5 linked regions of the Rattus norvegicus genome follow. The protein of the gene in region 2 binds, or shares a complex with, the protein of the main gene of each other region. Links are inferred from orthologs where the notes say so. Each region holds a gene or a part of one and is shown on either strand. Other genes may lie near its edges. The genes, in order: Gipc2, Myo6, Tom1, Clta and Gipc1.

Region 1 (4,178 bases), on a different chromosome or scaffold from region 2:
GGGGAAAAAGGGGCTTACACGGAGGCTCTGCCATTTACCACGTGTCCTAAATGTGAATTTAATTCTCTGCACTGCTTCTTAAGTAGCTTCCCCTTCCTCTCTCTTCCTATGGGAAGAGAGGTAGGCGTATCCTATTCTGTCAAATCTTTCTCTTATTTGTCACCTTGTCTGTCACTCAATTAGGTATCACTTTCAAACATGGCTGCTTCTTTCTACAAACTAACTTTACCTTCATTGTTTGGGATTGAAGGAGTGTACTCAGGGCCTGACTGTATTCCAGCCAGAGGGATTAAAAGTGTATGCTAAGGCTGAGCCCCACCACAGCTAGAAATAGGTTTTTTTTTTTCAGTTAAAACACAGTCTTGGGGTTCACAGTGTGATCAAATATCCTGCAACAATGTATGATTTTGAATCTGAACCTCAAAGCCCTGGTTCCGTCTGTGCGAAGCAAGAACACAGTAACACTTCTTAGGGGCTAAGTATATTGGATAAAATCATGTATCTTTAGCTCAGAATCCTTTATGCACACACAATAAGGAAAGCTGTCCATGAAAAAGACTAAGTCTGGAGTCAGTCCCCGGTTACAGAAGAGAGTTTAAAGCTCCCCAGTATTACACGAAGGCTCTTGCTAGCTTGGAAACCAGAGAATTTGAGTATAAACAGCAGCCTTGCTTTTCTTCCACCAAGCTACCTGACCTTGGTCAAGGTCCAGCCTTTTGCAGGTCAGCCATTTGTTTCCCTGGCCCATATCCGTGGTATTAATTACAGTTTTCAGAGTCCTGACCGTATCCAGTGTAACCTGTTGGGTTTACATACAGACGCCTCCAGTCTGAAGGACAGCCTTGTTGGGAGATAACCTTTATCTCTGCCCGATAGGTGGCTGATGCTGACAGAAGTCAACCTTAGCCAAGGCTACCCAGCTACTGCATGTTGGTGGCTCCACAGTCAACCACATCTGGTTAGCCTGCCACCTACCTCACCTGGAGACGGTGAAAGTCGAGTGTTACTCTAAAAGTTCCTCTTCAATTGAACACTCCTATACAAACACCGTGTTACGGCAATCCTACACTAAAAATAAATGATCCACAAAAAGACTTGTGATTTGTCCTTAGAGCCTGGGAACCCTGAAAGAACAAAGGCTAGCACTTTTAAAACTCCTTTCTTGGGGTTGGAAAGATGGGTCAATGGTTAGGAGTGCTGACCGATCTTCCAGACAGCTCTGGTGTGATTCCCAGCACCCACATGGCTGCTAACCACCCTCTGTAATCCCACTTCTAGGGGATGAGTCTGTACAGACACGTGTAAACAAAACACTCACCCACATAAGACAATGTTTTTAACCCTCAAAAAATTAATAAAAAACAGATGTACGTAGGCCCGCTCTGAGAAGAAGTTGCTATCTACAGTTCTGAAAGCCCACGGCAAAAGCCTGAGCTCCAAAAGAGACGGTGCGTATATCCATGCATTTGTGTGCACACACGCACATTTTGTGTGCCCTGGCAATAGCACGCACACTCACACAAAAATGAACAAAACGTTTTCATGTGTGCAACTGCTTGTAGAGGCCAGGGGGACACTGAGTAGGAATGCCAGAGTCCTGAACATTGCTTCTTAGACTCCGTGTTTGTTTGTTTGCTTGTTTGAGACAACTTCTCTCACAATCCTGAAACATACAGAGTAGACTAGGCTGGTTCAAGCCTGTCCCTAGGCTGGGGTTACCACCGTGTGTTTTTTCTGATGAGTTCAGGGATTTGAACTCCGGAGTCTTCGGCTTTTACTGCAGCTCTAAAACATTTACTTCACACCGGTGTAAGCGCCGAGGGCCCACAAAAATCCTCACAGACTAATGCGTCTAAGATAGGACCTATGGCAACTCCAGTTTCAGGCATCATATTATCAATCTACTTACATTTCTTGGTCTCTTTTCAAAGATACCTTGGGAAAATGTAGCTGAGCTCTTCCGTGAAAGCTGCGTTTGCTAGTCAGATAGTTTGCTATGATTTTCTGAGTTCCTTCCCTTGGAATAACAACCCATGTTTTAAATTTCTTATATATTATCACCAAAGCAGTTCTTCCTGGAGCCATCCAGGGGTGAGCAAAGTAGGCTTCAGGTTGCACCCACCAGGAAGTCCTTCCCCTTTACACTTTCCCCCTTCTCTTTAACTCTGGTTAGACTCCCAATGCAGCTCTCTGACAGAAAGCCTAAGAGTAAAGTCCAAGTCCTGTGGAAGGCATTCATTCGTCGCAACAGATCTGAGTCCCGGAAGGTGCTGGCGCACATCCTATCCTGAACGACCAGACCTGAGCACGTCTACAGCAGACTCCCTAACAAAAGAAAGCCTAGTCGCCTTGACCCCAATGACCCACAAGCCGGATCTGAGCGGATAGTTTCATCCGGTCCCGGGACTGGCCTTTCCACCACCACACACTCTTCCCTCCGATGCTCTGGGGACCGACTCCACCCAGCACCAGCAGGCTACTTGAGGCTCGGGAAGTGCTGCGCCGCAGGCTTGGGTGGCGAACAGACTGTGCCCCCTGCGCTTACCTCGGACGGCGCGATCTCAAACACCCCTGCGATCTTGGCGTAGAGCTCGCTGATGCTGGAGAAGTCCTCCACTCGGCCCGTGGCGCTGCCGTGCGCCAGCTGTGCGTGGAACACCAGCCTCCGTGCCGGAGCTGGGGGTCCGGGGACACCCTGGCTGCCACCGGACCTCTCGCCCTCCACCAGCCTCGCGGTCTCCTTGGACTTGGCAGCCTTCTTCTTCCCACGCAGCCCAAGCGGCATCTTGCAGATCCGAGGGTGTGGACCACCAGGCTCTCCCTGGCCTCGGACAGCGGACTTTGCGCTCGGGGGCCTGGCTCCGCGCAGGTGACAGTGGCTGCTTGGCCAATGGCAGCAGCGCTTCCGCCTAGCGGCGCGGGTTTCAGGTCCCCTCCCTGTGAAGGACAGGGCACCTGAGCCGGGCTGCTACCTGCTCAGGCAGAAGGAAAGCTGTGCACAATGGGTCAGCTCCCTTCTAGACTCAAGCTTACCGGGTCAACCCAAGCCTCCTCTGAGTGAAAGGAATTGATTTCCATGAAGGGACCGGGATGCTAACAAAGGTCTCTCACGTCAGCCTTGCTTTCCCTTTCACAATCTGGGCGCTCAACTGGGTGTGGTGGTTGAGGCCAGTGATTCCAGCACTGTTAAGGCTGGGACAGGATGCTTGCAAGGATTAGAAGACTCGCCTGGCCTACAGAGTGAGCCCACTTCACACACACCCACGATGAAAGGCCCTCAACTATAATATCTGCAGGGAAATGAAAAGATGGAAAGAGGACATTACTATGTTAAACAGAGTAGGCCGGGCTCAAAAAGAAGACTGTTGCCTGTTTTTCTTCTCATGTGTAGATTACATGTGTCGGGGAACATGCAAAAAAAAGAAAGGGAACTGTGGGAGGTTACAGAATCCATAAGACAGGAAAGTAGACAGGGGAAGGTGGTCCAGGGAGAACAGTGGGGGAGGAGACACAGAAACAGACGACAGTGACCTGTACGTGTGAAAATGCCATAACCAAACTCATAACTTTGTGTGCTAACCTAAAAACCATTGTAGTAGAGGCAGCATTCAGCCACATTTGGGTAACCCCAGCCAGAGACTTTGTCCATAGGAACCTATGTAGAAGCCATCCTTCCTCGAACTTGCCCTCTCTGCAATGAGCTCTCTCCCTCTGCAAGTGTCAAGTCAAGTACCTCAGCCATTCTCGCAGTACCTCTCTGTGACAGGCTCCTTTTGGGAGGCCCACTTTCTCCCCTAGGTTTTCAACACTCCTCAGTCCATTGTTTCACATCCTAAGAGAAACTCTGTCCTGTTCTTCAAAGAGCTGAAGACATTCACTGAGATGTGTGTGCCCTCTGTTCCCCATGCCGCATCAGAAACTCTAGCCACCTCACTTCTATAAGCTCTGAAGCAATCTTTCATCTGAAACCATCTAATTTCTCCACTCTAGGCTCTCTTTAAGAAAAGGTGGCGGGGGTAGTGTGTGTGTGTGTGTGTGTGTGTGTGTGTGTGTGTGTGTATGCATGCATGTGTGTATATGTATGTACATTACATGAGTATATATGTACATTCATGTAGTGTGTATATATGTGTGTATGTACATGTAGTATATATGTGCATGCATGTGTGTATATATGC
Region 2 (3,990 bases):
CCAGTGGGGTCAGAGTACAATTTGAGGAGTTGGCTCTCTCCTTGAACCATGCTCGGCTTCAGGATGGACTGTAAGAGCCCTCACTGGCTGATCTATCTTGCCAGCCCCTTATTTTGTTTTAGTATTAACCTCTTTCCTTGTAAAGGAGATGTTTGTTCTCAAATTTGCATAGGAATGTAATATTTAATTTAAAATGATGACTCATATATGACCTTATAAAGACAATAAAATTAAACAACCAGAAAGATAAAGCGGGGGCAGTTGGCTCAGTTCTATAAAACCAACCCACAAGGATTATCATTACTTCGAGGCTAAGGCAGGCTACACGACGAGTTCCAGGATAGCATGGCTACACAGAAGAGACTCTCAAGAGTCCAAATAAACAATAATAAAGGGGGCGGGGTGGAAATAAGGGGCCATAAGAAGTAAATACGAGCTCAGCATGGGAGGCCAGACAGGGAAGCAAAACTTTTCTTCGGTGGCCCAGTCTTCCAAGGGCTGAACAGGAAGTTGACGCAGGCAGGTGGGAAGCACCAGCTTGGATGGGCCGCTGTGCCACCCTTAAACCCCGCAAGGGAATTCTTCCGCAATTCGCCCGTCCCACTCTCAACTTTTCTTAACTGACTCTTTGCTGTGGACCCTCGCTGCGACATTGGAAGCAACTATCACTGCGAAGAAGGGAACTTCGTGAGGGGTCACCGGCAGCTAGCTGCTTGCAGAGATGCCGGGATGCGGTCAGAGCCTCGGTTCTCTGCTCCTATCCAACTCTTGAGGTCCCGCCTTTATCTTGCCTCACGCCATTAGGCCACGCCCCTACCCAGCACTCCTTCGACGCCCTCCCATCCCCATCCCACGCGCGTCCTGAGGTCCCGCCTCTCTCAACTCTAGCTCTTTGGTCTCTCCTCCCTAGCCGCCCCGGAGCTCGTTGCCTTGAGGCCAGGTCCCTCCACTCCTTCATTCCCGAGACCCAACGAATTGCGAGTCCGACCCTCCTGGCTGCCTAGGACCCGCCCCTCTCAGGCCTCTTGCCCTAAAGCCCCTCCCCTTAGATTATCCCCGCCCCCTGCCAACGCAGACCCGCCCTTTCTCCAGTCGCCCCGCCCCGCTCCCACAAAGTCCCGCCTCCGGCCCCCGCCTCCGCCCCCTGGGCGCTCCGTCGCAGTGACGTGCGCGCCTGGCTGGGCACTCCGCTGGGCTCTCTGGCCGGCGGGTGGAGACCGATCCGGTATCTGTCCCAGCAGGAAGCGTATCCCGGCCGCCGTCGTCTCCGGTGCTCGCTCTCGGCCGCGGCGTCGCGCTCGCCCTTCGCGCCCGCAGTCCGGCAGCCTCTCCACGGCCGCGACCCCTCGCGCACCTGCCTCGCTCGGGGTGAGTGTGGACTCCTGCCCGCCTGCCTGTCCTCACCGCCTTGGCCTCTTCTCTGCCCGGCGCGGACCGGAGCTCTGGCTTCCCCTTCCCCGGCCGGCGGGGCTCCTGTCACCTGACGAGTCCCACCGGACACTGAGAGATGGTTTTCTCCTTTGGAAACAGTGAAAATTCTACATAGACTAGTTTGTTGTCAGAAGTGAAGATCAAATGATACCATTAATAATTTAGCTGTGTCGAAGACCATGGTAGCATTCTACAAAGCTGGAATTTTAGTCTCTAAGCGGTCTAGGATCTTGAGTATGAGTTTTACGGACGTGTTGCTGAAAATAACTTCGTTATTTAATTCCAAAACGTCTTAAACTAATTAAAACGTTCTAGCTGTGAATTGTATTTTTTAAATAGGAAATAAAATGATAAGGCCACTCTTAGATAATCTGTCAGGAACTTTTACACAGAGATACATTTTATCTGACATAAAGTATGCAGAGCAGGGCTGTTTAAATCCTAATGTGCAGATACTATTGGAGCGCTACATAGTTGCTGCTCTGATTTCATACGTGTTGAATAAGACTTTAGTTTGCTCCCGTGGTACAGTTGCACGATGTTCGAATATAGTCCGCTTGAGGCTTTTAACAGCCCTTGAGGCTCAGCAGCAACACCATAAAATCTGAGTCTTGAGCTGGGTGGTCATGGTCCAAAGGTTGGCCGCGGAACAGCAGCATTTCTGTACAGATTAACTCAACTTCAAGACATCCTGGCTTGTAGTTTTCCAACTGGGAAATGTTTAGTGAAAAAAAAAAATTACCTTAGTGCCCTCTAGCATTAATTTTAGAAATAGCCACAGATACTCCAAGGGGGGCAGAGGAAGAGCCAGGAACAATGAAGTTCTTCAGAACAGCTCACTGACTTTTAAATGTCCACTCATTTTCTGTGTTTGCAGTTGCACAGGAGTAAACATGCACAGTGGTAAATAGGAATCATTTTAGTCTGATGTTCATCTGCCCGTAGTGTTTTTATTTTTTGTGTGTGGTCTGTTGCCTGTTTTTCTCTTCCTTTCAAGTTTTGCATTTGTTTTCAAACGTTACTTGTAAAAGGCAGGGGCAGACTACTATCATTAAGAAAAGAGTATTGTGATTAAATATACAGTTAAAAAGCCACGTAGTGTAGATTTTACATATGATCTTTAGTACTTAGCTAGACACATGAGCAAGAAAAAGTGAACAACTATGATTTTTTTTAATAGAAACTACAACAGAGTATTAAAAACAAAAATGCAAATTATACTCCATGGGGCTTATCTGAAAGGGATTTTCCCCTGTTTACACGATCAAGTTTTAAAATAACAGTGGCCAGGAAATCAGAGAGAAGCTGAAGGCTCCTCTCTCATCCTGTTGTGACTTTGCCTGGAGTCTGTGGTGGATCATTTATTGTTTAGACAACTGGTCTGTATCTGGGTTTTGAAAGGCCTTTAGATGGTTTTAAAGATTTCCACCATGTAAGGTCTGAATAAATACATAAGAACTCCACATTAAAAAAAATTCTCTAGTTTTTAACTTTCTCTTGGAACTCAAAACTCCTCTTAGCATACAGGATTGGGAGTGTAATTCAGCAAGTTCCTTGCCTTGTGTGTGTGTGAGGCCCTGGGAACTGGAGTTTTCATTTCCTGTATTAAACATCTTATTTAAACATAAAAGTTTGAAGAACACATTGCAATTTAAATAAATCTCACACAATAGAACAGTGATTCCCAAAAAGAGATACTTTGTTAACAGTTTACGAACTGGTGATTTAGTAACAGTGTGACACACACAAAAAACCTTAAGGTTTGATTTACAAAATAAATTTCCAGGTTGGTGGTCTTTTCTTTTACAGAGGAGAAAATGGAGGTTCAGAGAATTAATACTTGCATGTAGCTTTGGAGGGGCAAAGTCCAGACTCAGTACACACGAGAGCCTTCTGACAGCAGAGCCTCTCACTCCCTTCACCAGAAGCTGTCTTGATTTCCGTTTGTTTGGTGAACTATTGAGAACCCTTTGTAGAACTGGTCTGGAGAGTAGAGGTCGGTATCCTGAATAAACTGTGATAAGGCCATGCATAGAGTCTAGAACTAATTGAGAATTCTGTCTTCTTTCTCAAGGCCTTGAACAGTGAGCCAATGCTGCGGCATCATTTCTGGTGTGGTTCCAGCATGTATTAAGTATTATGTGCTTTTCATTTTGATGGGTTTATAGGAATTAACACTGCAATCTAATCCTGCACTGATTTCATTGTAGCTGAGCTACAATGTGTTACCGTTTAGGATGGAACTTCAGTTTTTGTCCTTCAAATGAGCTAGCTTGTTGCTCTACACAACCTAGCTGTCTCTTAAATGTTATTCAGTTAAATGGAACCTTAGGAGGGAAACATGCTTCAAGATTAAGATAGCCAGGCCTGGGAGATGCTCAGCGGGTAAAAGCACTTGTCTGGAACTCTGATGACCTTAGTCGGATCCCTGGGTCTTATAAGAAACAATTTCTGTGAATTGTCCTCTGACTACCACACATATACCATGGCACATAGCCATGAACAGATAGTTGTAATTTAAGAAATAGAAAAAAATAATAATAAAGATTAAGACATCTT
Region 3 (3,960 bases), on a different chromosome or scaffold from region 2:
AAAACACGAATAATAATTAAAGGCTGCATGTTGTAATGTACATACACCTTTAATTCCAACACCCCTGAGATCTGAGTTTGAAACCAGCCTTGGGAGACTGTGTCCAAAAAAACGGGATGCAGAGCATTGGCTTTTAATGTGACAAGGTCCTAGGATGAGCCCCAGCCCTGCCAAGAATGGAAGAGAGGAAGTGAGATGTCCCACGGTACTTGTTTAATCTCAAGAGATTAAATGTGAAAGAATCAATTCCTCGTAAGTTTCGATCTGACACATACAGGATTTTTAAAAATTACAAATTTAAAACATAATGCCTGGCACTGGAGAGGTGGCTCAGAGGATAAGAGCAATGACTGCTCTTCCAGAGGTCCTGAGTTCAATTTCCAGCAACCACCTGGTGGCTCACAACCATCTGTGATGGGCCAGTGCCCTCTTCTGGTGTGTCTGAAGACAGCAACAGTGCGTACTCATACATAAATAAATAAATCTAAAAAAAATTAAAAACATAATACAAAGATACAGCAAGGAAGAAGCAACCATCGCGGAATGCCTGTTGAGTGATTTTCATGTCATCTCAATACTCTGAAAGCATTACATTATGGATATTGGTCGTCCCACCACCACCTTTACAGATGAGGGGAACAGGTAAAGAAAAAGCACTTTTCTGGTTTCCCAAGAGCCAAGGTGGATGAGGTGGCTTACCAGGTAAAGGAACTTGCCACAGTATGTTCAGTTCATTCTCTGTCTCAAAGGAGCACAAACCCAGGTCCTTGCCTCCTCTTTGGCCACAAACGAGTGGCTCCTGGAGCAGGGAGACATCAAATAGAAATTTCGAGTCCGACTTGGACAGGAGGCTATCGTCCTTAGGGCTTGGTCCCCAAGACTAAAGGCTAAGATGCTAATATTTTCGTTATCTTGCGTAACCTGACCCAGGTCTTTCCTTGGCCAGAGACCCAGTTTCCGGATGTGAAGACTTCTAGGCTCCACTGCGGCGCACATAGAAGTTTCGGGGGCGTGGCTTAGGAGCCAGCTCTCCCAGGCCCCGCCCTGGTGTGGCGTCAGCCACTGCCGAGGGGCAGCCCGGTAGGGGGCGGGGCTCGTGGCTGCGCCCCAGAGCCCCCGCCTGCCGGCACCTCCCCGCGGGCCGGCCAGCGGGTCACGTGACGGGTCGGCGGCGCCGGCGGTTGCTGTCACCTGATTCTGGGAGCTGGTGGCAGTGGTAGCCGCGGCAATGGACTTTCTCCTGGGAAACCCGTTCAGTTCTCCCGTGGGACAGCGGATCGGTGAGTCCCGGGAGCCGCGTGCAGTCCCGCCCCTGTGTGCCGCTCTGGCCTCGACCCTGGGACCTGTCGGAGTCCACAGTCAGGGCTGGGAGGAGGGAGGCTAGGCTGCGAGGCTGGCGCGGCGCTCTGGGCTCCGCCTACCCTATGACTCCCACCTGATTGACAAGAGCACAGGCCAATCGGAATTCTTATATGGGGATTGATGCTTGATGTAACCAATAGGCAGGAGAAGGAGACAGTTCTGGGCGGATGTGGCTCAGCCAATGTGTGCGTGCTGGGGTCCAGAGTAGAGGGAGAAAGTTTGGGTTAAAGGGACTGCTGTGGTGAGAAGGCGTTGGGCCGCGCCACCGCTGGGCGCGCGCAGGCTTAGAGCCTCTCCCGGGCTGGCGGCGCCTGGGTCATTCGCCGCGTCACCCGCCGCTCACATTCCGAGACGCCGGGGTATCTAGGTTCGGCCGCGCCTCTGTCCCCATGGTCGGGAGACTCGGGTTTATGTGACGTCGCCTCCTTGATGGTCCTCGCCCATAGTTTAAGGATCATGGCATGGCCTTGCTGGACTTCTTTGATCATTAAATGCATTAATAAGCGCGAGGCATTGAGGATGTTTCCTGGCACATGGCTAACGCCTGTCATTGTCAACGAGGTACCGCCTACTGAAGCTGGAGCCCATGGGAAGATGCCGGCGCCCAGCATCTACTCTCGGGCGAAGGCCAGCTGGCGACATTTACCCAGGAATGGGTGGTCTGGGCGTGACACACATCCCCTTTATCTGACCGCATTGTGAAATTATTTTTGATGTTTTTTTTTCGCCGTTGGTCCAGCCTGGGAAGGCTGGATCTGAAAGCCAAGGCTTCCCCGAAGTCGTTAGTCCAGCTGTGTTGTAACCACCACTGCAGCTGTTAGTGGCTCTTTTGAGGTTCTCATCAGTTCTCTGCAGGGAACTCTGGCGCCTGGAGCCCAGGTGCTTCACAAAAACCCCACCATAAATCGTTGTTTGAGACCCGGAAAGAGAAGGCAGCCCTCTTCTCAGATGTCTTATGTAAAGACAAAGGCAAATTAGTCTGGCCTTCAAAGCCAGCCTGAAAGTCCAGAGACCTGGATAAGCTCATTTGGGTTTAAGATGCCGTTCAGTTCAAAGCTCAGCATCTCTTCCTGCCCTGAAAGTTTGCCTGCCTCGGGCAAAAAATACTCCTGGATAAGAGTGCTGCTACATCAGTACCTTGGAGCGCTGATTAAATCTCACTGCTGGACCCTCTCTGCCTTGGGGTTCATGTCAGAATAGGTTGGACCGATCCAAGACTCAGATGGGCAGGTGTAGGGTTCCCAGTCATGTTCTTTGCAGTTGGCTGGGAGAGCACACGTTTCGAAACCTCCCACCAGAAGCGGTGGCTCACATCTGTAATCCTACACCCAGGAGACTAAGACAGGAGGATTGCCACAAAGTCCCAGGCTAACTGGACTCTGAAATTCATTGCAGGGCAGCATAAGCTGCAGTGTAAGACCCTGTTTCAAACAAAACACCAGTCCATTCTGTCCCGTGGCCCTTCCCTTTACTGAGAGGAAGAGATCAAGTTCTACAGAAGGAAGGGGGTGAAGACTGAGGAACCCCCAAAATCCAGTGCAGTGCGATGAGATGGCAAAGCTGTAAAAGAGCCAGGGGTGGTGGAACAGCACTTAGGAGGCTGAAACAGGAAGATTTTGAGTTCAAGTCCAGCCTGGGCTACAGAGAGAGACCCTACCTTGAAGAACAACAGCAGTGTTCCATACTCTTCCGTGTGTCAAGATAGAAGCACTGGAGGTTGAGCCTGCGTTGGTTTTTTTGAGACAGGGTCTCTCAGTGTTGACCAGGTTGGTCAGGAGCTTCAGGCCTTAAGCAGTCCTCCCCCATCAGCTTCCAAGTGGCGAAGACCTGACTGGCTGTGATGATTGGTGGCCAGGTTTTAGCTGCTTGTATTCTTTATAGCCCAGGCCCCTCTTTGCTGCAGGAGTAAAGTGGTATCTTCTCAGGTCTGCTGACCTCCTGCCCTAAGAGTGGAGTGTTATAGGATTAACATCCTAGGGGATAGCAGTCGTTCAGTGGTGCTAATCAGGGCCCAGTGTCACTGGCCTCACAATTCACATACACCTTGACACTTGGCTGGTCTCACTGGAAATTTCTGCTGCTGTGAGGAGCTGGGCTCATGCCCGGAAGCACTGGGCACCACCTCCTCCCTGAGGCCGTGTCCCATCTCCTGACCCAATCTCTGCTCTTGTGTTCTGTCCTCAGTCTGCGTCCTGTAGGCACAAAACAGCTCTCACCTCAAGGGAAATCAGAGATACTTCATTCTATCCCCGGACCAAATATGAATTGCCATGACCCAAGAATACAGATTCGCATCACCCCAAATAACGTGGTCCAATGTGGAAATGGTTTCATGATATTTTTTGTAGTTGCAGAGAACAAAAGCAAGCCATAAACCAGACACTCAGGCTACAGCAAAGCATGAAAATCTAGGCTCCATGTCTCAGGTGCTAGCTGATGACATTACTAAGTTTGGGTTGGTAGACACTAGTTTTCTATTAACTTATTCCAAAAGGCGTTACCTGGTAGTCACAGAAATGTTAGGTCAGACACAAGATAAGCAATAAGTGGTTACTAAGGGTCTAAAGCAAGGTAATTTGTCTCAAGATCTGCAGCATT
Region 4 (3,510 bases), on a different chromosome or scaffold from region 2:
AGTCACCCCCATTTTTTGATCCTTCCCTGATTTGACTACAGTTGCTATACTTTTGAATTCTTTCCTAAAGTTTACCGTCTGGCTAGATGTTATTCAGTGACTGTTCCCCTGTGTGGTAAAATGGCTTCTGAAGTCTTAGGCTCTAGGCTTGGCTTTGCTCTGTGCTTATTAGCTTTGAAGGCAGCACATAATCTCCGAATATGTCCCTTACCCATCCAGCCTCAACTCTCCTGTCACCCACTTGTGTCCCGCTTTTCAACAGATAGCAACTAGTCTGCCTCCCTCCTGAGAGCGCAAGGACCCAGCTCAGTAATGTTGCGATGCAGGAGGCTCTCTGGTGGCTTGTAGGGTTCTCTTACTGCTTTAAGTAGTCCTTTAACAGTTACAAGCCCGCCTTCTATGTGACCTGACGTTCTACTCTTGTGAAAAACATTTCAGAAAGACTTGGGGGCACTGATGGATATAATTGTTTTGTGTTAAGGAGAGCAATGGTCCAACAGACAGTTACGCAGCCATTTCAGAAGTGGATCGGTTGCAGTCAGAGCCTGAAAGTATCCGTAAGTGGAGAGAAGAGCAGACAGAGCGCCTGGAAGCCCTCGGTAAGGAATTCCGCTTTGCTTTCAGGTGTCTGCTTACAGTAGAGTAGTTGACGAGAACTGTACTCTGATCCCCTTTAAGCTTGCATCGGCCATAGTGTCTCTGTTCAGTGTTGAGGAAGTTGTATTTCTCAGCCTAAAGGTCACAGGCCACTGGCAAGGATAGGCTTCATCAGCGGCTACTGCATGAAGAACTCGGGAGTGTAGGGAGGCGTCTTCTCCAGGAAGTGAAAGGCTCAGTTCAAGATTGCACCTTGCTGACTGGGTGCCTGGTTCCCGTCTTTCACTGTCATCATCTGAGGGAGTCAGTGATGCTGACTACAGCTGAGTGCTGTTGACAAGCATATGGGAACTTGAGGTACTGCTCATGTGAGCGACACTGACGGTTCACTTCTCATTTGAAAGATGGATCTACTGTTAGGAAATGTGTCCGTACCTTCCCATGCTGTGACAACATAGTGGACAGAATCAACTGAAGGAAGAAGGTTCAATTTGGCTCACAGTTTCAGACATAGCTGCTGGCTCTATTGCTTTCAGGTCTGGGAATAGAGAGACTTCCAGGCAGAACAGACAAAGGGCATCTGTTCGCCTCATAGCAGATAGGAAGCAGGGAAGTAAGGATGTCATACAGTTCAGAGGGACTCTCCACAGCCACCACTTCACCCAGCCTTTACCTCCCCTGTTACCACATCTCCCAGTGGTCCATTCAGTCATGGATCAGCCCATGGATTAGGTCGAGTCTCTTACAGTGCAGTCACTTCCAACAGATAGCACCATGAGCCTTTTTTTTAAAGTCCATAATTGAATTTGTGTGTGTGAATGTTGTAGCAGTGTCTTAGGGTTTCACTGCTGTGAACAGACACCATGACCAAGGCAACTCTTATAAGGAATTTAGTTGGGTCTGGCTTACAGGTTCAGAGGTTCAGTCCATTATCATCAAGGCGGGAGCATGGCAGTGTCCAGGCAGGCCTGGTGCAGGAGGAGCTGAGTTCTACATCTTCACCCAAAGGAAGCCAGGAACAGACTCAACATCCTAGGAGAAGCTAGGAGGAGGGTCTCCAAGCCCAGCCCCACAGTGACACACTTCCTCCAACAAGGCCACACCTTCTAATAGTGCAGCTCCCTGGGCCAAGCACATTCAAACCGTCACAAGCAGCATGTCTGTCTGTGTAGTGTGTCTGGTACCTGCAGAGGTCAGAAGAGGTTGTTGGATCCCCTGCACCTGGAGTTACAGATGGTTGTGACCCATAATGTGGATGCTGGTCTTCTGCAAATCAACAAGTGCTCTAAATTCCAGAATCTTCTCTCAGGCTGTCTACATGAGTCTTTTTAGGGGATCCTATCATTTCCAAATCATAACATGGACTTTTTTTCTTTACCTTATTATCCCTGTAAGGTAAGGGATCTTTTTGCATTTTAAAAAAGTATTTATTTTTTATGTGCATTGGTGGTTGTGACTGCATGTATGTCTCTGTGAGGGTGTTGGATGCCCTGGAACAGGAGTTTCAGATGATTGTAAGCCACCATGCGGGTGTTGGGAATTGAACCCAGGACCTCTGGAAGAGCAGCCAGTGCTCTTCCCTGCTGAGCCATCCCTCCGCCCCCCCCCCTTTTCATTTTTATGAATAAAGGTATTGAGGATCATAAGTAGATTACATTTGAAGCACACAGCTAAGGAGTGTGGTAAAAACAAGTTTGGGTTTGTCTGCTCTGCTGAGGCTCCACATTTACCCCACGAGCCACGTGGCTTTCTACGTGCATTTTGTGTACAGGGCCATCTAACTGGGCAGGCCAAGCCCTACCGTGGCATCAGCTTCTTGTTTCTCTGGCTGTCCTGGAACTTGATACTTCGATCAGACTGGCCTCAAATTTACAGAGAACCATCTGCCTCTGCTTTCCAGGTGCTGGGACTAAAGGTATATGATATCATGCCTAGCCCTAACAAAAATAATTATAATGATTGTTAGAATACATAGAAAGAATATAGTCCAATCAAAACACTTAAAAATTGTAAACATGTCAAGGTTCTATTTTGAGACCCAGGATTGGACTCAGGCCATCAGGCTTCTACCCCAGAACCATCTTGCCAGCCACAAAAGGGGTGTGATTGGGAAGTGATTCCAGTTTGCAGTTAGGTCAGGTAGTAGATTTTTATTTCCTTGAAGCTCACGTGGCCTCCTCAACTTCTGGAGTCTGATGGCAGAGTAGTTTATCCTCTGCCCTGTGTGTGCCATGGGCAGGACTGTCGGCAGTTCTCTGCCGGTATGTCAGAGGCTTTCGGGGGAGCTCATAGTATACAGTCTTGTGTGAGTGCCAGGCAACTTCCGGTGAGTTAAACAACAAAGAAGAGAGTCTGTAATAGCAGGACGCCTGGAGATGGCTCTAGACACAGCCTGGCCCAGGAGGTTAGTACGTGTCTGGCAAAGGGCAGATGCCCAGGAATACTCTGCTTCTTCAGGCCTTCCTTACTTGATGCCACCCTGCTTTCACTCTCCTTCTCCAAGGTGCTAATTACAGGTTGGGCTCTTACTCTGTGCTTGGAGACCTCTCTGGATTACTTGATGGTTATATAATCATGTGATTATTTCCAGGTTTGTGTACTGAAGTGAGTCAAGTGTGAGCTTGAGAGCAGACTGGGTCTTTGCTCGCCCCTTATCCATGGCAAGCTTACTCAGCTTTTTGAGGGCTTTTTCCTCCCTTACTGCTGAAAAGGAACCTAAAATTTATCTTCTTGGGAGTATTGTAAAGATTGAGGTCCATGAGAGGATGTCCCCAAGACCATGTTTAACTGTTAGCAATTCACATGTGCTGCTAGCAGTGATCATGCTTCCCTGCCTTTGTGACAGGTGGTCTTCAACCAACATCGTGCAAAACTACATTTAATCTAAAACTTGACTTTGGTGGCTAAGAGTAT
Region 5 (4,234 bases), on a different chromosome or scaffold from region 2:
CATATCTGTGTGTCCTATGTGTCTGCCTGGTGTCTGTGGAGGTCAGAAGAGAACACTGGACCTCTGGACTGGAGTTAAGAGATGGCCACCCGTCATGGGCACTTGGAACTGACCTGTGTGGTCTGCAAGAGCCACACCTCCTATAAACTGCTAAGCCCATCTCTTCAGTCCCAACATCCAGAAATTACCATTCTCATACCCAGACATATTCTAAGTTGCCCAAACTGGCTTTGAACACTTAACTCCTATCCAGTAGCCTGGAGAGGATTATGGGTACGTATCTACACTGGGCTGCCTTTCATCTATTTTCATATAAGAACCTGGTGACAAGGTCTTACGGTTTGAGCGAATGTGAAATCCTCCTGCCAGAAATTCCGTGCTGGCAGCCCTTTTTGTTTACATCGCTAATGTCTGCTCTGACAAGAAGTCACTGAACCTACTGGACAGGGAGGAGACCCCAGGCTGCCCGATGGACCACCGTAGGTCCCAGAGCTGGTAAGAGTAGGCTTAGGCAGAGAGAGGTGTCCTGAGCCTTTCACATAATTAGAATGGTGTCACCGGCCCGGGGGGCTCACTCACCAGATCCTCCACTGTGGCAGGGCCCCGGGATCGGAGCCGGAGGGTCCCTCGGCCAGTGCCCAGTTGTGGGCCTGAGCCAGGGTGACCACCTGATGAACGCTGGCTGATCATATCTGTAGAAGGCAAAGGTAGTGGGGAAAATCAGCCCACGGTAACACAGTACGCAGGCTTCACACAACCACCTCCCACCACCTTCAAAGTTCTGCAGGCTCCTTGGGTAGGGACTGGGTTCCAGCAAGGCAGGACTTTGCATGGATGGTGAGGGGCAGCTAGGGGCCAGACATAAAAGCAGCTGGAGAGAGAATGGAAGGTAGCTTCTATTTGAAGGAGTGAGGGTTGAGAAGGGTGAGTGTAACTGCTGAGTCTCAGATAAGCCCTTTCTACCCACATCAGGGGTGCCTCAGGCCCATTCCTGAGAGTTAGTGAAGCCAGGTAGAAACGGGGGGGGGGGGGGGGCGCCGGGCACAGGAGCCATACAAGGCAGCCAAGCCTCACTTCTCCAGGCTGAGGGGGCTGGCCAGGGTTGGGGGCACTCGGCTGGGCTAATGGCTCCTGGAAGTCGGGTGTGGGGGCGACTTCCTTCTGGCTGGGCTGTCAGCCAGCACTCAGTTCTAGGGTAGGGTGGGGCTGCCCCCACTCTGCACTGCAGGCTTGAGTGCCACCTGCTGGTGGTTCCCAGGACTACAATCTGTATTTCTTAAGAGCTCAAGGTCAGCCCGGTGGGTGGTCCAGGTTGCAAGAATGGCTCACCAAACGCCTTCCGAGGTTCGGTGAGTTTGAGGGTGAAGGTGCGGCCTCGGGGCAGCTCTTTGAGGAGCCTGGCAACCTCATAATGCCGACAGCCCAGCAGGCTCTGCCCGTTGATGGCTTCAATCATGTCACCCACGCTGATGAGCTGGATGTGGTCAATCACACTGCCTTCCTTGATGCGCTGTGGAGGGGCAGGCATCAACCCTGGAAGCTCCACTCTAGGTCCCATTAAAGACCCTGGCCACTGACTAAGGGTGTGCCACCCACCCGGGCACCTTAATGAAGGCATAGCCGGCCCCGTTGTCGGTGATGGTGAGCCCCAGAGCATCCTCAGACTTGAATACTTCCACCTCTTTGCGCTGCCCCTTGACATGGGCAAAGATGAAGTCCTCCAGCCCGATCTGGCCCCCCAGCAGCTTGTCCATATCCACTTTATGGGTGTTGAGGGTACAGAACATCACCTGCAGAGGTGGGGCAAGATGCTCATCCTTCCTCCCTGGGTCCCCTATCCCAGGGACTGGTAACACCCAAAGCCAAGGAGAGGTCCACTGGCACATCAAATGCTATGAGCAGGATTTCTGTCCTGGTAAAAGCTCAAGAGCTAGCTTGACATACAGAGATCACTCGATACTTACTGAGGGGTGAAGGGGGTCTAGACTCCCACCCAGCCTTCCTACCCATCTCCACTTGAATCTCAGTCCCACTGTTGCCCTCCCAGTGGCTTCTCAGCTTCTAGCTTGGAGTCATGCCTCCAGGGCACCCTGGAGAAATAGAAGCTGCTCCTAACACCCTCCCTCCCCCTCTTGAGGTCCCACAGTATTTGGGGCACAAGCTTCCCAATGCCTTGGAAACCCAGCTGCCACCTGTGGCTGTCATCCTCCAGGACACAGGCTACTTCAGACCTGATGGGAAATCAGTATCTGCAGACCCACAATTTACTAGATTACGAGCCTCGTAAGGCCCGTTGGGAAACCCCCCCCATACCTACTAGGGTACAAGTCTCTCAAGGCCTCATAGGAACTCAGTATCCTCCTGTAGCCACGCCTCCTAGGTTCAGGGGCTGCTGGCCAGCAAGGAACACGAGCCCCAGCTCACAGGAATACATGCCCAGGCCTGTGGCTTGCTCTTAAGGGACCGTGGTCCCACTGGTACCTCAGCAGCCGGTAGTCGGAAGGCCTCAGCGATCTTGCCGTACAGCTCCTTGACATTAGTGAAGCCCTCGATGCGGCCCGTGGGGCTGCCGTGGGCCAGCTGGGTATGGAACACGAGGCGAGGCCGGAGGGAAGCAGGAGGTGGGGGCAAACCCATCTGGGATTCCCCTGCTCCACTTCCACCCAGGGGCCCGGGCTCCCCGACGCCCAGCCCACTCCGGCTTGGCTCCGCCTCCTCATTTTCCACCAGAGGTGGTGCTTTTTTCCTTCGCCCCAGTCCCAGTGGCATGAGCAGCCAGAAGTGGGGACTTGGCCGGGAGACCTGCGAAAGGGAATCGGGCTTCACTCTCTGAGTACCAGCCTTGGGTGCCATCCATCACCACCACATGGTATCGACATCAACCAACATGGTTCTATTTTGCGAAGCAATGTTTCTTAACCCAGGGGCCTGGTGCTAGTCAAGTGCTCCACCACCGAACCCCACCGTGTCTGATCACGTGACTCAGGCTCCCAAGCACAGGGAGCCAGGACACCTCCAGCACATTGCGGCCTATATAACGTTGTGTTGCGTTTGCGTTCTGCTGAGGCTTTCATCGCCCCTGCTTGGCTGGCGCTTGTCCACAGAGCTGCAGCTCCTCCCGTACAGTGGAATCTGCTGTACACATTTAAAGCTATGCAAACTCTTCTTCCGCTGTATTGTCTGAAGAGTAACAACACAAGATTCTGTCCATGGTCAGCATAGGTACAAGGCTCTCTCCGAATCGGCCATTTTGGCCTTGTGCATGTGGACCCAAGCTACAAGTCTAGACTGCCTCTTACTTTTTAGTGTGAGGCAGTTATCTCTCAGTTGCTCAGCTGTCCTTGAACTTGCAATCCTCCTGCTTCAGACTGCAGAGTGGATGGGATTACAGGGAAATAGCAGGACATCTGCCTCACCCAAGTATTTTCTGTATACAGTGGATTCAATCTGGGCACCCAGAGCTGATGTGAACGAAGAGAGGTGACTCCAGATAGCTCCGATGCTGGGGTGCAGCTCAGTGGTGGAGCACGTGCTAATGAGGACCCGGTCTCATCCCAGCATCAGAATGAAGCCTCGCACTGCACAGTAATAATCCCCACAGAGATACCCATTACAACCCCACACCCGCTGCTCTGTGACCTCGTTCAATTCTCCTTCTGGATGAGGCATGAGGCCGTTGGTGCATCCTGCCCTGACCACACCCACTGGAGCAGACAACTGAAGGGAAGATAAAATGCTGGATGGCCCTTTACTTTCCATTTCTCTGAGAAGGCTCTCACTCTGTCGTCCAGGCTGGCCTAGAACTCACCAACTCTACCTCTGTTCATCTTGCAGTGTTGGAGCAGATGGAAACCACCAGACACAGTGTCTTTTCATTTTCTATCAGTTGCAGTCATTAATGCTCTGTGCAAAACCCAAGTTTGGGTCTGGTTTATGTAAAAGAAAAAAACAAACAAACAAACAAACAAAAAACCATGAGGAAAGATGCCCTTGTAAGAGCATCTTACAGAGCTGGAGAGAGAAGGACCCCCAAGGCTCAAAGCCCACCTAGCCTACCTAGTGAGCTCAGGCCAGTGAGAAATCCTGTCTCAAAACGCAAGGTGGAGGGCTGGCAAGATGGCCATCACCCCTGCAGGCCTGAGTTTAATCACCTGGGCCCAATGAAGGGAGAGTGCGCACTCTTGCAAGCTGTCGTCTGACCTTTACATGTGCACTGGGCTATGTGTACTTACAC

The links.
Region 1: the proteins of Myo6 (region 2) and Gipc2 are in contact, whole or in part, in a crystal structure (PDB 5V6H), measured with the Mus musculus proteins. The link is inferred for Rattus norvegicus from reciprocal best matches to the Homo sapiens genes MYO6 and GIPC2. Residues at the interface, in NP_001034635.2 of Mus musculus: Ser1055, Lys1056, Trp1057, Lys1058, Tyr1059, Arg1084, Arg1085, Leu1086, Val1088, Tyr1089, Trp1092, Lys1093, Asn1096; in NP_058563.1 of Mus musculus: Glu255, Leu256, Tyr257, Met258, Gly259, Ile260, Asp262, Asp264, Leu265, Thr268, Thr289, Leu290, Asp292, Phe293, Ala294, Pro296.
Region 3: the proteins of Myo6 (region 2) and Tom1 are in contact, whole or in part, in a crystal structure (PDB 6J56), measured with the Homo sapiens proteins. The link is inferred for Rattus norvegicus from reciprocal best matches to the Homo sapiens genes MYO6 and TOM1. Residues at the interface, in NP_001355794.1 of Homo sapiens: Ile1182, Phe1184, Trp1202, Gln1214, Glu1216, His1218, Asp1220, Lys1221, Pro1222, Ile1224, Leu1226, Glu1234, Met1235, Cys1236, Leu1238, Glu1242, Thr1243, Gly1244, Leu1245, Arg1247; in NP_005479.1 of Homo sapiens: Ser440, Glu441, Phe443, Phe446, Leu447, Arg450, Ala451, Ala453, Ala454, Asp455, Leu457, Pro458, Asn459, Leu460, Ser461.
Region 4: the proteins of Myo6 (region 2) and Clta are in contact, whole or in part, in an NMR structure (PDB 6E5N), measured with the Homo sapiens proteins. The link is inferred for Rattus norvegicus from reciprocal best matches to the Homo sapiens genes MYO6 and CLTA. Residues at the interface, in NP_001355794.1 of Homo sapiens: Met1053, Thr1054, Pro1055, Met1058, Ala1059, Met1062, Ser1087, Trp1089, Lys1090, Tyr1091, Glu1113, Arg1117, Leu1118, Val1120, Tyr1121, Trp1124, Asn1128; in NP_009027.1 of Homo sapiens: Glu47, Asn48, Glu50, Ala51, Phe52, Ile54, Leu55, Asp56, Gly57, Gly58, Ala59, Pro60, Gly61.
Region 5: the proteins of Myo6 (region 2) and Gipc1 are in contact, whole or in part, in a crystal structure (PDB 5V6E), measured with the Mus musculus proteins. The link is inferred for Rattus norvegicus from reciprocal best matches to the Homo sapiens genes MYO6 and GIPC1. Residues at the interface, in NP_001034635.2 of Mus musculus: Ser1055, Lys1056, Trp1057, Lys1058, Tyr1059, Ala1060, Arg1084, Arg1085, Leu1086, Val1088, Tyr1089, Trp1092, Lys1093, Asn1096; in NP_061241.1 of Mus musculus: Glu273, Ser274, Tyr275, Met276, Gly277, Ile278, Arg279, Asp280, Glu282, Leu283, Thr286, Asp310, Phe311, Ala312, Pro314, Glu316.

What each region holds. Positions count from the first base shown.
Region 1 is NC_086020.1:243,767,397-243,771,574, forward strand, and holds the start of Gipc2 (PDZ domain-containing protein GIPC2), read right to left. Parts: upstream 2,804-4,178; 5' UTR 2,786-2,803; coding exon 2,546-2,785; intron 1-2,545.
Region 2 is NC_086026.1:89,966,213-89,970,202, forward strand, and holds the start of Myo6 (myosin VI), read left to right. Parts: upstream 1-1,184; 5' UTR 1,185-1,368; intron 1,369-3,990. UniProt on the Homo sapiens protein: Myosins are actin-based motor molecules with ATPase activity. Unconventional myosins serve in intracellular movements. Myosin 6 is a reverse-direction motor protein that moves towards the minus-end of actin filaments.
Region 3 is NC_086037.1:13,410,087-13,414,046, forward strand, and holds the start of Tom1 (target of Myb1 membrane trafficking protein), read left to right. Parts: upstream 1-1,157; 5' UTR 1,158-1,228; coding exon 1,229-1,280; exon of another isoform or gene 1,281-3,960.
Region 4 is NC_086023.1:63,047,714-63,051,223, forward strand, and holds part of Clta (clathrin light chain A), read left to right. Parts: intron 1-481; coding exon 482-599; intron 600-3,510. UniProt on the Homo sapiens protein: Clathrin is the major protein of the polyhedral coat of coated pits and vesicles.
Region 5 is NC_086037.1:41,381,136-41,385,369, forward strand, and holds the start of Gipc1 (PDZ domain-containing protein GIPC1), read right to left. Parts: upstream 2,808-4,234; 5' UTR 2,770-2,807; coding exon 2,482-2,769; intron 1,791-2,481; coding exon 1,605-1,790; intron 1,511-1,604; coding exon 1,330-1,510; intron 693-1,329; coding exon 580-692; intron 1-579. UniProt on the Homo sapiens protein: May be involved in G protein-linked signaling.